Oryctolagus cuniculus: one gene and its partners. The protein of the gene in region 1 interacts with the protein of each later gene in a pairwise test. Links are inferred from orthologs where the notes say so. Each region holds a gene or a part of one and is shown on either strand. Other genes may lie near its edges.

Region 1 (3,500 bases):
CTAGAATATATCTATGTTGATTGAATATATCAAGTAGCTGGATACTCATGAACAAGGTGTTCATTTTTAGTAAGAAAATAAGTAATGATCAATTTTGTTGAATGTGTATAACCTTCTTAATTACAGCAAGAAGTAGAAAGAAAGAAGATTGTTGGGTCAAGAAAAAAAATTAATGCTTGGAGAACCAACCAGTCATAATATAAGTTACCTCAGAATGCATTTGAGGCCAATGCTTGTCAAATGATTATGATAAGGTTACCAGTGATAAATCACAGGGAGTAACTCCCATGCCTTTTCCTGAAGTTACTAACTAGTTGAACTTGTCATGATTTCCTGGACCTCTCATCCAGGATTCCTTGAGTCAGAGAGGTATAGGGTCAAAGAAATTACAGGGTACAGAGGGTGGTGTGTGGTTAAAGGGCCATGTTTTTCAGGCATAGAAGTCTGTATGAGAATCTATTATACTCACTTTCAATGCATATGATGTCATTATTGAACCAAAGTGCACTCTGATGAGGCAAACTACCTATGAGATTAACTACTTTCTTCATCAAGTGGGAATTACTTACTAAGGAAATATGGACTGAATTTACACATATAGTAGAAAATGAGCTTTCTATAATCCCTATACCTGTTGAGTCATCATTAAACAGAACATGGACGATACTAGTTGGATGACAAAAAATATATTCTTACCTGGCACTGTCTTTGGTACATTTTCAGTTCTTGCAGGAGCTTCTGATTTTCATCTTGTAACTTATTCCTGCTTAGTGCTATTTCACTCACAGCTGATTTTAGTTTGGCAATAATGAATTCATCTCTCTCATTGGTTTCACAGCTGGGATCTGGGTCACATATCAAGCGAGGAATTTCACAGCTGCTGTCTTCTATGCTCTGTGCTTTACCATCTAGTTGAGTTTGGTAACTTTGTGCCTGTTTCTGAGAAATGTAAAAACTCTAAATTCAATGAAGAATATCACATTTAAGCATTACATGAATGATAGAAAACAACTGGCAAAAACTCATTTAAGTATGTTACTATATAGGAAAGGTTGGCCTTTTATAATAAAGTCTCTCTTTGTTATGAAATCTCAATTAAATGGTTGAAGTGAAAATATGCTTGTATAACATTGAAGCAAAGATCTAGAGCATGGAAAGGTCTACAGATTGGCCAGTTTTATTAAGCATGAATGAAAGTCTAGAATCTGTAAAAGAAGAAAATTATGAATTCAATTACACAATAGTTGAAAAATGTCTCTCTGATTTAAAGCAAAGGAAAACAGAAACAACTGGATTATGGAGAAACAGCTGTGAAGGCAATAACAGGCGTTAATCATTGCTAATGTACAATAACTTCTATATATCAATAAGAAAAAGACAACACTGAAGAAAAATGGACAGAATATATGGAGGCAATTCACAGAAGAGGAAATGAAAAAGGCTAAGAAATATGAGGGCATCGTCAAAAATTGTGTATTATGAAAACACTTTGCATAGATTTTGATTTTTGAATTGAAATATATTTATCTTTTCATTTTTCACATGCTTTTGAAGTCTCTCATATAAGAAGAGGTGATTAGTCTTTTACAAATTTGGTCAGCAAGTCAAACAATCCAAGATTCTCTTAGGACATTGTCCATAGGCATGCAAAAGGTGTTGTCTAATGACATAATGACAATGACATTTTAAAAAGCATCATCCCTTGAGGTATGTAGACTAAATTCACTATCACAGATAGTTCATGAACTGGTGACTATACCCGCTCTACTCTACTCATTTTCACTTAGTTAGCATTTCTATCTGTAAATAGATTCCATGCTGAATGGCAAAGACACCAGTATGTAACTTTACATTCAGAGGTTATTATTAAGTAACATACCTGGAATTGATTACACTTCTCAGATAATAATTTTTGCTGAGCATCTAAAGAAACTAGGTGAGTCTGATATAGTATCTCTTGCTTATCCCATTCTCTTGATTTTGCTCTAAATTCCTTTTAAAAAATGGGGGGAACAAAGATAAATTGAAGAATATTATTCATTGTGAAGCACAATGAATAGGGTTTCTTTTATTTACACCTTCATTCAGAGGGGACTAAAAAGTAAGTCCATTCTTTGCCTATTAGGAAAATTATAAAAATTAAGTATCAAATCATTCATATTGGATTTATTAGTCTTCTAATTTTTGCTAGGAAAATATGGAATTTATAACTTAGTCCTTGTACAAAAAGCATTAAATATTCTATTTACTAAAAATATTGTAAGTTCCTCTGAAAATTGCTATTAATAAGCTACCTTCCAAACATCTTTTTTCTTCAATTAATTACTTTCATTCTATTTACTCATACCGGAAGTTTTTTCCCTCCTTCCATTCTCTACAATCAGTCGTTAAACTTGTTCCCTTGCAAGGATAGGGAATGATAATGCCCATGAAACCATTTGGTCTGGCTCTGCCAAGGCAACTGCTTTCGGGACTTGAAATTCAGTAAGTCTATAGCAGGCTAATTTTTAAGTTGATGATTTTGTATGGCCTGTAAAGGATGTTATAAATATGCAAATAGCTCTTAGTAGAAAAAAGGTTCTCCAGCCCTGTATAGAGCTTAGATTTTGCCACTGCTTGGACTGAATATTTGTGTTCCCCCATCCATGCTCCAAATCCATGTGTTGAAGCCTAATTCCCATATGATATTATTTGGACTGGGGGCCTTTGGGAAATGACTAGGCCATGTGAATGGAACCCTCATAAAGATTAGTGCTCTAATAAGAAGAGATATGAGAGAGTTTTTTTCTTTTTCTCTATATGAAGATATAAGGAGACAGCCATCTATAAACCAGGACGAGGGCCATCACCAGAACCTAATACTCTGAACTTGGACTTTCAATTTTCAGAACTGTGAGAAATAAATGATTGTTGCTTAAGTCGATTTGTCCATGTTATTCTGTCACAGCAGCCTGAACTAAGATAGTGATGTGGCTTTCAAAGTTTTGTCCAAGTCCACTCAATCTTGGAAACAGAAAAACCATTTGAGGTCTCATGCAGGGAGTATCAGTTGGGTTAATCTGGGAAAGAAGAAGTGGCACTAGCTTTATAAAGCACATACAGTTCTTTGACTTTTTTCTGAAGTAGTACAGTCACAGAGCATGATTATCACTTCACGACTTAGTAACATGAACAAAAGGCATCGTACTGGGGATACCAAATAGAACTTCACTCCTCAATGTTTCCTAGGGCTGGCCATTCTTGTCGTTCTGTCCAGGCTTAAGCAACTGAATGTGAAGGGCTGTGTATTTTATTACTTTCAGATTGTTCACAGCGCTTGATAGAGTGCCAGATACTACTTGTGTTCCATGAATGCACAAACAAAAGCATAGTATTAACATCTCCTGGAATTTAAACATTTCTCACTAGACTTTTCAAAGAAAACAACATGGCTGAAAGTAGACTTTACAGCTCCTAAGTTCATGACCATATACTGGTGATGTGCTGTGAACACGGTGTAG
Region 2 (4,137 bases), on another chromosome or scaffold:
GAAGAAAGCCATTTCCCTGCCATGCACTTAGCTATATCTAAGATACAGGCCCGATTTCCTTTTATTTGTGGTCTAAATGCAGACAAGTTTCTAGATCCCAACTCACATAGCTAAAACTGTGCTTGAGAATACTGTATAAAAGCAGGTAGTAAAAGCTTAATTACCAGTAGCATTATGCTGTCTATATTGTTAAATGTGAACTCTGCAATTAAGATGTAAATTTGGTTGTGAGCAGTGAATTAAAAGAGCTTGGAGATGCAGAAGAAAATCCAAGCATTCTGCAGACACTCGGGGTGGGGGAAGAAAAAGATCTGTGTATTCAATCGAAAAGGAGACATGTAATTCTTTGACAATTTCAAAAATAAATAAAAAGGCATTTTGAAAAAGAAGCATGACTTTTCTAAAATACAGAGAAATATGGAAGCTAATACTGCATTCAACAGAAAAACATCTTTGTTTCCTGTTCCTCTTGATTTCTGAATACACTAAAATCTTCAAGGTAATTAATAAACGTGATTGTACATTTTTAAAAAAAGATATACCAAAAAAATCTCTTATTTTTGTCCAGCATAATTTCTTAAAATGATAAAAAAATTATTTAATGTACTCAACATATCTTAATGGACTCAACACATGCACTCCGATCTTGTACCTGTGCGGAAGAATCTCGTATTGTATTCAGTCTCTTTGCATTATCATGCTGTGACAGAACCTGGCTATTCCTCCTTTGAAATGGCTGTTTAAAGGCAAGATTTGTAGTCAATTATTTACTGATGGCCTTAAGTCATCATATTTTATAGAGGCGATATTTTATTCCCCAGAATTTTCTTATTTCCTTTTCGGGGTATTTTTGCTTTTACTGCGACTCATTTGATTTCCTCGGTGTGTATTTTTAAACATATTTAGACTCATATTCATGCACGCGTCTTTCTTCTGTGCCCAGAGACACATGTACGCACTTGTACAGTGCCGCCCCCACTGATCTTCCGCTGACCATATTTCATCTCCGAAGGTGCCGTGTTCACTGAGCCTGCCGCTTTCTCAACGACCAGAAGTGCATTAGATTTGTAGAACGGGATGTTTTCCCCCAGGGATCAAAATGTCACCTGTACAAGTCAAGGGCCTAAGATTACACGTACAATCCTGAATCCAGTTTAACCAATTTAAAATTTAAAATAATATCCACTACACTGAACTTTCGAGACAGCTTCAAGAATATTTCATAAACACACAGCACAGTATCTCAAGAACCTTCCTTAATCACAGAAGTTCCTCACCTTGAAAGAGAAAGGAATAGAGACTCCTAGGAAAAGAAAGCCAGCACAAGTCATATTGAGCTTCAGCCTTCAAGAAATTCAACTACAGAGGATTTGGGGGGGAAAAAAAGCAATCAAAAAGATAAACAGACTAGAATAAGCTCATATTGCTAAATGTCCATACACTTCACAGTCTTACCACAAGGAGTCTACCCAAATCAGGAAAAATGGAATCAAACAAAAGAACTTCTTTTGACTGGTTCAAAAAGAATATTAGTAGATTAGTTACTATCAGTCTATCATGCATCAGACCCTCAGGCTAGACATAGTTTCACTCTCTTCCCTAAACACTGCAGTCACAAGTATCTGAACAACTTCTTCTCAGTTCCCAGGTAAGGCACAGATACAAAGAGATAGTGCACTTCATTTCCACTTGAAAGAAAGGAGCGGCCACAAGCAAAACTCAAGTGAAACAAAAGGTAGATTCCTAGGAGTTGCACATACTATGCATCTTACTGTATGTTAGTCAGAATCATTGCCTAAAACATACTAGCAATGAATTTTTATGTTACTACACAAAGTGGTGTGAAATGCTAAGAGTTGCTATGACTGCAAACTATTAGCTCTTTATAGCTCTCATGCTCCTTTTCTGAAAATTAAGAAAACTAATCCATATTAAAATATTTTAAGCTTACTATAGTCATTTTTGAAGCAGATTTAGATTTTGTAAGGAGGTCTTCAAAAAAATTCTTGGAAAATACTTATTACAAGAAAAAAAATGCCTGAATTTCAAATATTTTTGTACCAAAATAAACTTATCTTTTAAGTCAATTTCCATGAACTTTTTGAAGTTCCCTCCCCTACTGCACATTGGCTATTTGCTGAACACTTTAAAACTAAGCCAGTTTTTAAAAATTCTGAGGTTTAAATTGCCTTGTAAATCTGCCTTCCAGATTTTTCCTCAAGATCATCAAACCTTTGAAACGCTGTTGAATTTTTTGAACCACTGTCTCTGATGTCTTTGATATAGCCTGTGTAGTGTTATCTTACTACAGAAAGCAAGCCAGGACTACTTCAATCTAATGCGTTTCACTCTGAGGGGAAACCCATCGTTCAGTCGCTAAGAAAAAAAACCTTACAGCACAGGTGAAAAGGGCCAGATGCCAGCCTTTGTGGCCTGGGCTCCTCGCTTTCTAGTCCCCTGTCTCCTCATCTGCAAACTGGAATTTCTGCTGGGCCATAAACCTACTTAGGAACATACCTTTCCCACTGAGCACAGGCAGACTTCTTTGGAAGTCAGGGTGGCTACTTTGTATTACCACCAAACCTCTATCAATTCATCATACCTCATTTTCTGTTGCCTTTCATTTCTAGGGCACAGGCTTTGATATTTAAATTATTGTCTCCATTGGCAAGAAGCAATCATTTCTACTGAAAGTGATCACTTCCACAGAAGCACTCATAAAAATCTTTCCTTTTGATACAGCGCTTGTCCTATAAATCCATCCCATTCCCAAATTATGGAGTCTCAAAAAAAAAAAAAAAAAAAAGCCCATTCCCTGGGGAGCAATCGTCTCTCCTCCATAATACACCAACTCGTTTCCCGGTGTTTTTGTGAAAGTGGAAGAATAAATAATCAGTGACAGAAAAACTAAGAGAAGCAATTCGGCTCCTGTTTAATTAATTCAGGATTATTTCACTTTCATTTTGTCAAGCTAATAATATACATGGTGAAATGTCAGTAAAAATTAAATTACAAACTACAGTAGCTCCAATGGGACAACTGACTTCAGTTATGTTGTATTTCTAACATCCTCATCCTAGTATAATATCAAGTGTGTTTTATGGCGTCCTACAAGGTTTCTATAATCTGTGTGGCATGTATTTACAGAGCAATAGTTAACATTTTGAGATTATACATTAATAAATGAGTTGCAGTCATATTCTTTCCTGAATGTTAAGCACTGCAAGCTAAATGCAGAAAACATTCAAGGTCAATGTCCCGTTTTAGACCTTTTCAGGCAGCGGTAATATTATGATAATCAAGCTTAAAATATTCCTATAGAAAGAGTAAATTAGCCTTTTCACTTGAAAGATGATTATGATAAACAATAAACCTAAGAGAGGACGAAATCCCTATTTTTAAAAGCCATAAATTGTTGACTCAATCATGTGTGTGATAGTGTGGTCCAAAATAAAGGGGAGCTTAGCTCTGGGAGGAAGGCAGGGCCACAGTGGAGATTGAGGAGGAGAAAGTGGAACAAACACAAAGATTTCAGAAGAAGCAATATCTGCTTTATCCCAGGAAAATGATCAAATTACCCATTTTAGCCACCCCATTCAACATCTATTTAGGTGCTCTCTCTCTCTCTCTCTCTATATATATATATATATATTCTATATATATATAAATAATATATATATAAAATTGAGTGTTCACTACAATTGGAAAGGTCTCTTTTCCTATTGCTTTTGCTAACCTTTCTGTCAAGACTTTCAAAGGAGCAGTTGAAAAAACAATGAGATATTAACAGCTAGTATCCACATAAACAGGTTTAAAAAGGTTATTGCACCTTTTGGATGTTAGAACTCATTGATATATTTCTAAGATTTTTTTTAAGGACTCATTCATTTACTTGAAAGGTAGAGTCACAGACAGACAGAAGGAGAGACAGAGAGAGAGAGGTCCTCCATCTGTCGGTTCACTCCCCAGAGGCTGCAATGGCAGAGCCGGGCCAGTCTGAAGCCAGGAGCTTCATCTGGGTCTCCCATGTGGGTGCAAGGGGCCAACAACTTGTGCCATCTTCTGCTGCCCTCCCAGGAGTGCTAGCAGGGAACTGGATTGGAAGTGAAGCCGCTGAGACTCGAACCAGCACCATAT
Region 3 (4,244 bases), on another chromosome or scaffold:
ATTTTCTACAATCAGGTTGTAGCATTCACTAAGTGCTCATTAACGTTAGAAGGAAATACCTTTTTCTTTCATCGATTTTAGTTCACTAACTTTATTACCATGATGCAGTAAACGGCTTCATTGTTGAAATCACCCAGATTTCTTTTCCCTGACCTCTATTTATTAGTTATGCTCACCTATATATAATTTATGCCTCCCCTGACCTCAGAGAAAGGAGTAGGAAAACGCTTGAGAGGGTGCAATGTTTTGGGTTTCCTATTGCTGCCATAACAATTTACTATAAATTTAGCAGCTTAAAAAAAAAACTTACTATCTTATGCTTCTGTAAGAAACCCAAAAGGAGCTAAATGGGGCTAAAATCCACATGCCAGCAGTACTGCATTTTTCTGGAGGCTGCAGAGGAGAATCCATTTCCCTGCCTTTTCCAGTGTCTAGAACCTCCCGCATTCCTTGGTTCACTGCCACACATCACGCTGATCTTTACTGGTCATCAATCTTCTTTTCTAAGTCTGATCCTCTCACCTTCCTCTTACAATTATGAGAACCCTGTGGTTCATAATCCAGAACCATCTCCCCACGCCAAGACCTTAATCTAAGGCAAAATTGTTTTTGCCTTGTCAAGTTACGTGCACAGAACAGGGATTAGGATATGGACATCTTTTGGATGGCATTATTTGGTCTACCACAAGGAGTGCCACTTGGTCCATCCTGTCCCCAAAGCAGAAAGTCTCATAGAAGGATCTGCTTTGGAAAAGTAGGAACACATTCCCTGGGAACTGAAAGAAAAGGGCAGTAAATGTAAGACAGCATTTTACAGTGTGTGGGAATGAGGTTCTTTTTCTGAGGAAGATTGAGGAGCACACAGGGGCTTTGAAAGGGGTGGACACGCTGCTCTGCGAGGTGAGAAAACCCCACTAAGAAGATAAAGCAGACTGCTTTCCTAAGGGCCCGAGATGTGGTAGTCTCCTGGGAAGGACTCTCTGAGGACATGCCAGTCACCATGCACATGAAGATTACTCCCAGCTCCAAAACGCTCACTTCACTGCTATTGCACATTTGCAAACAGCGCAACTGTAGCGTCAGAATTAACGTGGCTCTACCACCTTTTCGGTATGCCCTTGTTTTCTGCTTTGCAGGATTCCTCCAGCATGAAACCTGACACTAATTAGGCTAGCCCCAAGTAGGAAAATAAAGATGATGAACCACAACCCACTCTGGAGATAAACCAAGGAAAACGGATCTCTGCCCAAAAGAACAACAGTGAAAAATCGTATTTGCCAAGGGGCTATCTACTAAGAGTTTAAATTTTTAGAAGAACAAAACGTGGAGAGTCTGATAAGATCTGCCAGCTACTGCTGTTTTCTCAGATATTTGCCAGGGCCACAGCCACTGAAGCTTGGGTGGATTTCTCTCTTGCTGTGTCATAAGATGTTCCTCTCCCCACCCCCACCTCCTCCCTCCTGCTGCCTCCACCAGTGCCTGTGTGTGTGTGTGTGCGCGCGCACGAGTGTGTATTTGGTTTCTCTCTCCCCTGTAAGAACACAGTCCGCCCGCCTTCTCCTGCTGTTGCTGCCGCTCTGACTTGCTCTTTGCTGCTGCTTTCCTCTCTTTCTCTTCCTGCTTAAGCTCCCTGCCTTCTGGTAAGTATGACAAACACTCCCCCAAGCCCTGTGAGATGTAGGGAGTGGTTTGTGGTGCTCGAAACTTGCAACTTTGAGACTGCCAGTGAACTGTTGAAGAACTTTCCATTGTTGCATTTATAATTAAAATGTGTGGCTCAGGAAGGGATGTGTGAGTGCTGGGACTGCCAGCACAAGTGAAATATGCTCTCAGAGGAGGGGAGGAAAGGGCAACACAGTTCACATAGATGAAAGTGAAAATTAAATTCTTTGACATAAAAATAATTTATATAAAAGGGTCCTTTAAAACTAACAATGTTTTTTCCTCTTGTTGATTTGTCTTGAGTCTACTTTTAGAAATTGAGTTGTCCTGTGGTTAATGACTCAGTTATTCTGCCTTAAAGTAAATGTGGAAAAGGAGTTTAAAGAATATTTGTGGAATTAAAGACATCAATGATAATGACATCTGAAGAATGAAGAATAAATCAAATACAAACAAAACATGTGCATGTAGACTAACCACAGTAAAACTCCATACACAGTCGGTTTTAAATTCTTGATTGAAATTCGCTTTCATTTTGATTTGATTTGATTTGATTCTAATATGGGTTCCCAACATTTTAAAACTCACATATGGTCTTAAGTCACTAAATACATACTGTTTTAATTTGATTTAAAAATTATTCTCTTGAATGCCCAAGGATGACGTGCTAAATGCCATGACTCATTTTAGAATAGCTTAAAATAACTTCTGACTGGACAGCAGGTGCCATGTGTCTTTGAGTTTAGAGGAAGCATAAGTTATATATAGATGAGTGTGCCTAACAAGTGGAGATCAAGATCAAGAGATTCCAATGAGGAAAACAAAGAAGCTGTCTACTACATACATTATCTGATCATCAAATTGGTGAATTAAAATTGGTGAAAGAAAAAAAGAACTTCCTTCTAACTTAATGAGTACTTGGTGAGAGCAACAAGTAGGTGGCAATGTCTAAGCTCTGGCTTTTCCTTTCTCGCTGGTGTCCAAACATCTGACACCCACTGCCCTGAGAATGAGGGAAGGGGGCTGTGCCGTTGATACAAGAGTATGTTTTTGTTCTCACTTTCACATGACCATAGCAGCAAAACCTATGAATGATGAGGATCGTGCCATATTTTATGGTCATAAGTAGCATCATCAGCATTAAATATTATTTACAGATAAAATGTTCCATCACTTAATGAACTAACACAAACTGATTGCAAATCTAGAAATGGTAGTAGCCAGACACCCTACAGTAATCTTCCACACAACTTTGTTCCTCACTCCTCATTTCTTAAGAACTTGTGTTATACTTACATTATTTTCCTAGTTCATTCCTTCCCTGCTTTTTTACTTGATATATAATAAAAATGATTGGCCGACGCCATGGCTCACTAGGGTAATCCTACGCCTAGCGGCGCCGGCACACCAGGTTCTAGTCCCGGTCGGGGAGCCGGATTCTGTCCCGGTTGCCCCTCTTCCAGGCCAGCTCTCTGCTGTGGCCAGGGAGTGCAGTGGAGGATGGCCCAAGTGCTTGGGCCCTGCACCCCATGGGAGACCAGGAGAAGTACCTGGCTCCTGCCATCGGATCAGCGCGGTGCGCCGGCCGCAGCGCCAGTCGCAGCGGCCACTGGAGGGTGAACCAAAGGCAAAGGAAGACCTTTCTCTCTGTCTCTCTCTCTCTCTCACTGTCCACGCTGCCTGTAAAAAAAAAAAAAAAAAAAAAAAAAAAAAATTATTAAGTTTCCCTAGAGTTACTTGCCTTGGAATAGAAAGTGATAATCTGCTTTCTTCTAAAAGAAAGCCGATTTTTATAGAGGAATAAAAAGTTATTGTAGAAATTTAAGAAATTGCTATTATTATAAGCATTACCATGTTTCCATATTGGTTGGTTTATTTACACCTTCCCTTATTCCACGTCTTATTACAAAAATGATGCTAGAATGAATTTCAGGAAAAATATTTTTGCTGATTGACAATTAATAACATGTTGCTCATCTGGGAAAAAGAAAATACTAGAAAGGCAAGAATATCTCCTGAATCACTAGAATAATTCATTTACATCCAACCATCTGTACTAATCAACTCTTTACTTACAGGTCAATATAAAGTTAGGGGCATTATTGTTATGAATCATTTAAAGTTAATTGGCTATTGTATTAAGTAATTTAACTTTGAATGAAAACTAATACCACTTAAAATTAAACATATGAAATGTATATACCTGTGTACTTCCAATGATTGTGAATCTACACATATTCATAAAAGAAAATGGTAACATTGGATCTTCTAAGCAAATGACAAATATGTCACGAAAAACAATACTTTGGTAATGTTAATAATAAGGTATACTGAAAACTAAAACCATAAATATGCTAGTAGTATGACTCCATCTGGAAAAATGGCTTCCCACTGTTTCTACCTAACTAATTGTAACAGCAATGATTTGTAAAAGTACATTCACTCTATGTTAGAAACCATAATTAGTTGATGCTCAATTTGCTCACATAACTTAGTGAACTACACAAAACCTAACTATGCTTACCACTTGATACTACACACAGTATGGAGATTAATCACGCTGAACAGCTCTCAGCAGAACA
Region 4 (4,055 bases), on another chromosome or scaffold:
TTCTTGGCTTTTTGGCTAAGATCAAGTGAAGAGTCAAAAGATATATTGGGGGCCGGCACTATGTTGTGGCAGGTAAAGCCGCTGTCTGCAGTGCTGGCATCCCATATGGACGTTGGTTCAAGTCCCGACTGCTCCACTTGCAATCCAGCTCTCTGTTGTGGCCTGGGAAGGCAGTAGAAGATGGCCCACGTTTTTGGGCCCCTGCACCCAAGTGGGAGACCTGGAAGAAGCTCCTGGCTTAAGATAGTGCAGCTCCGGCAGTTGTGGCCAACTGAGGGAGGGAACCAGAGGATGGAGAACCTCTCTCTCTCTCTGCCTCTCCTTCTCTCTATGTGTAACTCTGACTTTCAAATAAATACATAAATCTTAAAAAAAAAAAGTTATATTGAGAAAATGCTCTAACATTTTCCTTTCATCAAGGCACCTTTCCATCTACAAGATGCCTGGGTAGTTTTCTCCCATAATCAGGAGCTCCTGGGGCCTCGCAGATAAAGGCACACAGCTGAACCATATTTCTCTTCAACAATCAAAGTACTAAAAGCTAGTATGAATTGTGCCAGTATTTTATGGTTAGAACAAAGAATGAAGACTTGAACTAGGGCTGGGGTAAGGGATCTGAGCAATATTCTTTTCAACAATTACTTGCTCTAGAAACAGCAATACTGAGCAACTATAATGTGTTAAATAAACGGTCCTAGGTTCTTTACAAATAGGGTATTTTATTAGTAATCCCAGGAACCCTGAGGGAAGTATTTTTATTTCTCATTTCACAGATAAGGAAACAGAGGCCTGGATGTCAATCATTTGTCTTTGACACACAGGTAAGAGAGTTCAAATAATGAGCCAAGGCTTTTTAAACCCTAAGGTTCTCTCCTCTTCCCTTCTGTATTCTTCAAAATGGAAGAGTCAGACACTTGAAGAAATGAAGACTCCTCTCCCAGAGCCCAAGTGCTTGGGCCCCTGCGCCCACGTGGCAGACCTGGAAGAAGCTCCAGGCTCCTGGCTTCAGATCAGCTCAGCTCCAAGTTGTTGCGGCCATTTGGGGAGTGAACCAGTGGATGGAAGACCTCTCTCTCTGTCTCTCCCTCTTTCGGTCTGTAACTCTACCTCTCAAATAAATAAATGAATAAAATCTTTCTTTAAAAAAAAAAAAAAAGACTCCTCTTCCTATCTCACATAGTGCTTTAGAAAAGTTGACTGTTTCAGTATTAAACAGAAGCCAGTGAACAGCAACCAGTGTCAGAAGGCACAAAGGACCATGCCATGTCCCTCATCTCCTGCACTGCTTCCTGTTGGAACAGTTTTCCTGCTGAGTCTCATTATAACCTTAGGACATCAAAATTTAATGATCTCATGATGGAAAACCCCAGAGAACAGCATTTAGCATAACTGGAGAGTTCACTAGATCAGGAAGGAAAAGAAATCAGGTGGCAGGAAGCGATGCTTATCTAAAGACACACAACATCTTTAACACGATATTAACAGTCATTCCAGTGTAATTTCCATGTTAATCTGAGGCTGTCTTTGCATTGCCTTCTATTAATATGTATTACTAAAAGCTGATCCCCACTCCATTTCCCATATGTTTAATAGGATCCTAAATAAGGTAAGACTGCCAAGACACTACGGACTGTTCATTTCTCTTTGCTTTAGAGGAAAATACTCAGTCATAAGTTCAAAGAATTACCAATTATCCCAGAAAGAAAAGAACTGAATCAATTAGGAAAGGTGGCAGGGGAGGGCACAGCCAAACGTGAATTTCATCACCAACTGGACTGTGGCTGGCAGAAATCTTAAATTCACAATTGAAACACACTTTCCTCCTTAGACTTCTAAGGACTCAGCCCAAAACAACCCAAACTGTCAACTAACGGCAGATTGGGGGATGGACAACTGCTAAAAAGTCTCAACACATGCCAAAATGGAAAAAAAAAAAAATCGCTTAGAAGGTCTGCCCTCCACGAAACCACTGAAGAATGAAAGAATTCAGTGTGTGTGCACAAGAAGACCATTACAATGCAGGGGGTGGGGGGAAGAGGTCACTTGGAGTTGGACAAATCCCTAGAAAATGCTAGAGAAAAACACCGACTCTGTGGTCTCCCTGTAAGAAATCCTTGACGGGAAAGGGTCAACTCAAGATAAAGTGGGGTCAGGCTGCAGAACTGCTCTCACTTTTCCTGGACCCCCACCCCCCGCCCCGACCCCTTTCCTCGCAGGCGGCCCCAAGCTCCCACCAGAACCCTTTGGGAGAAGATTTGCACCTGAGGAGCTGGGGGAGCCAAGGAAGGGGCCACCCTCGAGTAAGCAACCACCTGTGCATGCTGGAGACCCCCGAGGAGTTCTCTTCAAAGTGGGAAGTGGCTCTGGGAATGGCCCCCCAAGCCCCGGGGGCGACACGGGGTTCTCCCTCAACTCCTCTGCCCCCTGTGCCCGGTCGTCGGCCACCCCCCAGCTGAGGTCACCTCTCCTGAGACCTCCGCCCTCAGACCCCGGTCTGTACCTCACACCCAGCCGTCCCCGCTCCTCTGCCTGACAGCCGCCCTGCCGCTACCAGGCAGCCCTGACTGCTCGGTCCTGGGGTCCCCACATCAGTCGCAAGATTTAGGGATTAGGATTTGGAAGGGTTTGGTCCAATCCCGGCTCCCTCTCAGCGTCCTGGGCTCACCTCCCCGGCAGCTTGGCGCTCCTCTTCCAAAACTGCTTGCTGTTCTCGGCGGCCATTGCTCTGGCCCGGGGAAGGCCTTGTAGGTGGGTCAGGGGGTGCCCGACGAGACGCCCCCGAGACCCCGCAATCTGAGGGCCAACCCAGGCCGCTTCCCCGTCGCCGGTCACCCGCTCCCAGCTCCTGGGGGCGCCATCTTGGATGTGGGCACCCGCCCACCCAGCGCAGCTGCCATTGGTGGGCTGCGCCAGCCGTGAACAGACGGGCCAATCGGGAGCCGGAATCCTGTAGGATGCTGAAGCCGAACGGTAACGTCAGGGGCTGGGCACCCAGGTGGGCCGGGAAGGCGGAGCTTGAGCGAGCCGGGAGGCGGGGCAGAAAGTTCCTACCCACGAGAGGGAAGAAGCAGGTAAAGAAAGCGACCCACGGGAAGGAGGCACGGGGGCTGTTTTCTTCTGGGGAAATGAGATCCCGGAGTCTGCTATTATTTGTAAGGAGGGCCATAGTGTGTATTTATAAACATAAATCTTTGACCTTGTTGGTTGTGACCCATTTTTAACGACACCCAACTCAGTGACACTTCGGTGATAGCCACCCCTTCCTCGTTCCGGTTCCGTTTAGGTCCGGAGTTTTTTTTTTTTTTTTTCTCCCTATGAAGGACTCAGTTAACCCACGCTCCCTAACTGTTCAACATGTGACAGTGGGTTCAGGAGTCTCCCTCCTCTGTTGACTGAATACTTTTAAAGGATTTGTGCTGTGAATGAAACGCCAAGGATCGAATCCTGTTTTAATCCGTAACTCTCACTTTCTGACAGTGAAAGCCTAGATACTGACTGACAGACGTGTTTAGGGAATGTGGTTGCGTCCATCCAATCCACATGACCAAGTACCCCATTTCTTTAGAGCATATCGTGTATCTCCATGATGTGAATCACCAAGATGCGGGTGTACCCCCACACACTTATCCTTAATTTCCCTTCTTAATCTATTGTAAATCTTTCACCCTTGAATTTGTTCTCAATCTAATTTTGTCTCAGAATGAAATTTAATATTAGCATTTTAAACTCTTTGAAATGTTTTGTCTGCGCTTTGTGCTTTTTTTTTTTTTAAGATTTGTTTATTTATTTGAAAGGCAGAGTTACAGAGAGAAGAGAGAGAGATCTTGATATCTTCCATCCACTGGGTGTCACTTCCCAAATGGCCAAAATGGTCGGAGCTGGGCTGATCTGAAGGCAGGAGCCAGGAGCTTCTTCCTGGTCTCCCGTGCGGGTACAGGAACCCAAGCACTTGGGCCATCTTCCACTGCTTTACAAGGTGCATTAGCAGGGAGCTGGATTGGAAGTGGAGCAGCCAGGACTCAAACCGGTGTCCATATGGGATGCTGGCGCTGCAG

Evidence for each region. The genes of interacting proteins can lie anywhere in the genome.
Region 2: the proteins of DEUP1 (region 1) and ESRRG interact in binary tests that used the Homo sapiens proteins (3 or more experiments, as listed by UniProt). The two-hybrid records come from large-scale screens. The link is inferred for Oryctolagus cuniculus from reciprocal best matches to the Homo sapiens genes DEUP1 and ESRRG.
Region 3: the proteins of DEUP1 (region 1) and TXLNB interact in binary tests that used the Homo sapiens proteins (3 or more experiments, as listed by UniProt). The two-hybrid records come from large-scale screens. The link is inferred for Oryctolagus cuniculus from reciprocal best matches to the Homo sapiens genes DEUP1 and TXLNB.
Region 4: the proteins of DEUP1 (region 1) and TBC1D22B interact in binary tests that used the Homo sapiens proteins (3 or more experiments, as listed by UniProt). The link is inferred for Oryctolagus cuniculus from reciprocal best matches to the Homo sapiens genes DEUP1 and TBC1D22B.

Annotation. Positions count from the first base shown.
Region 1 is NC_091432.1:84,562,668-84,566,167, reverse strand, and holds part of DEUP1 (deuterosome assembly protein 1), read right to left. Parts: intron 1,994-3,500; coding exon 1,880-1,993; intron 940-1,879; coding exon 697-939; intron 1-696. UniProt on the Homo sapiens protein: Key structural component of the deuterosome, a structure that promotes de novo centriole amplification in multiciliated cells.
Region 2 is NC_091444.1:30,982,355-30,986,491, forward strand, and holds the start of ESRRG (estrogen-related receptor gamma), read right to left. Parts: upstream 2,801-4,137; 5' UTR 1-2,800. UniProt on the Homo sapiens protein: Orphan receptor that acts as a transcription activator in the absence of bound ligand. Binds specifically to an estrogen response element and activates reporter genes controlled by estrogen response elements.
Region 3 is NC_091436.1:29,550,163-29,554,406, forward strand, and holds the start of TXLNB (beta-taxilin), read left to right. Parts: upstream 1-1,444; 5' UTR 1,445-1,640; intron 1,641-4,205; 5' UTR 4,206-4,206; coding exon 4,207-4,244. UniProt on the Homo sapiens protein: Promotes motor nerve regeneration. May be involved in intracellular vesicle traffic.
Region 4 is NC_091436.1:132,390,660-132,394,714, forward strand, and holds the start of TBC1D22B (TBC1 domain family member 22B), read right to left. Parts: upstream 2,801-4,055; 5' UTR 2,722-2,800; coding exon 2,666-2,721; intron 1-2,665. UniProt on the Homo sapiens protein: May act as a GTPase-activating protein for Rab family protein(s).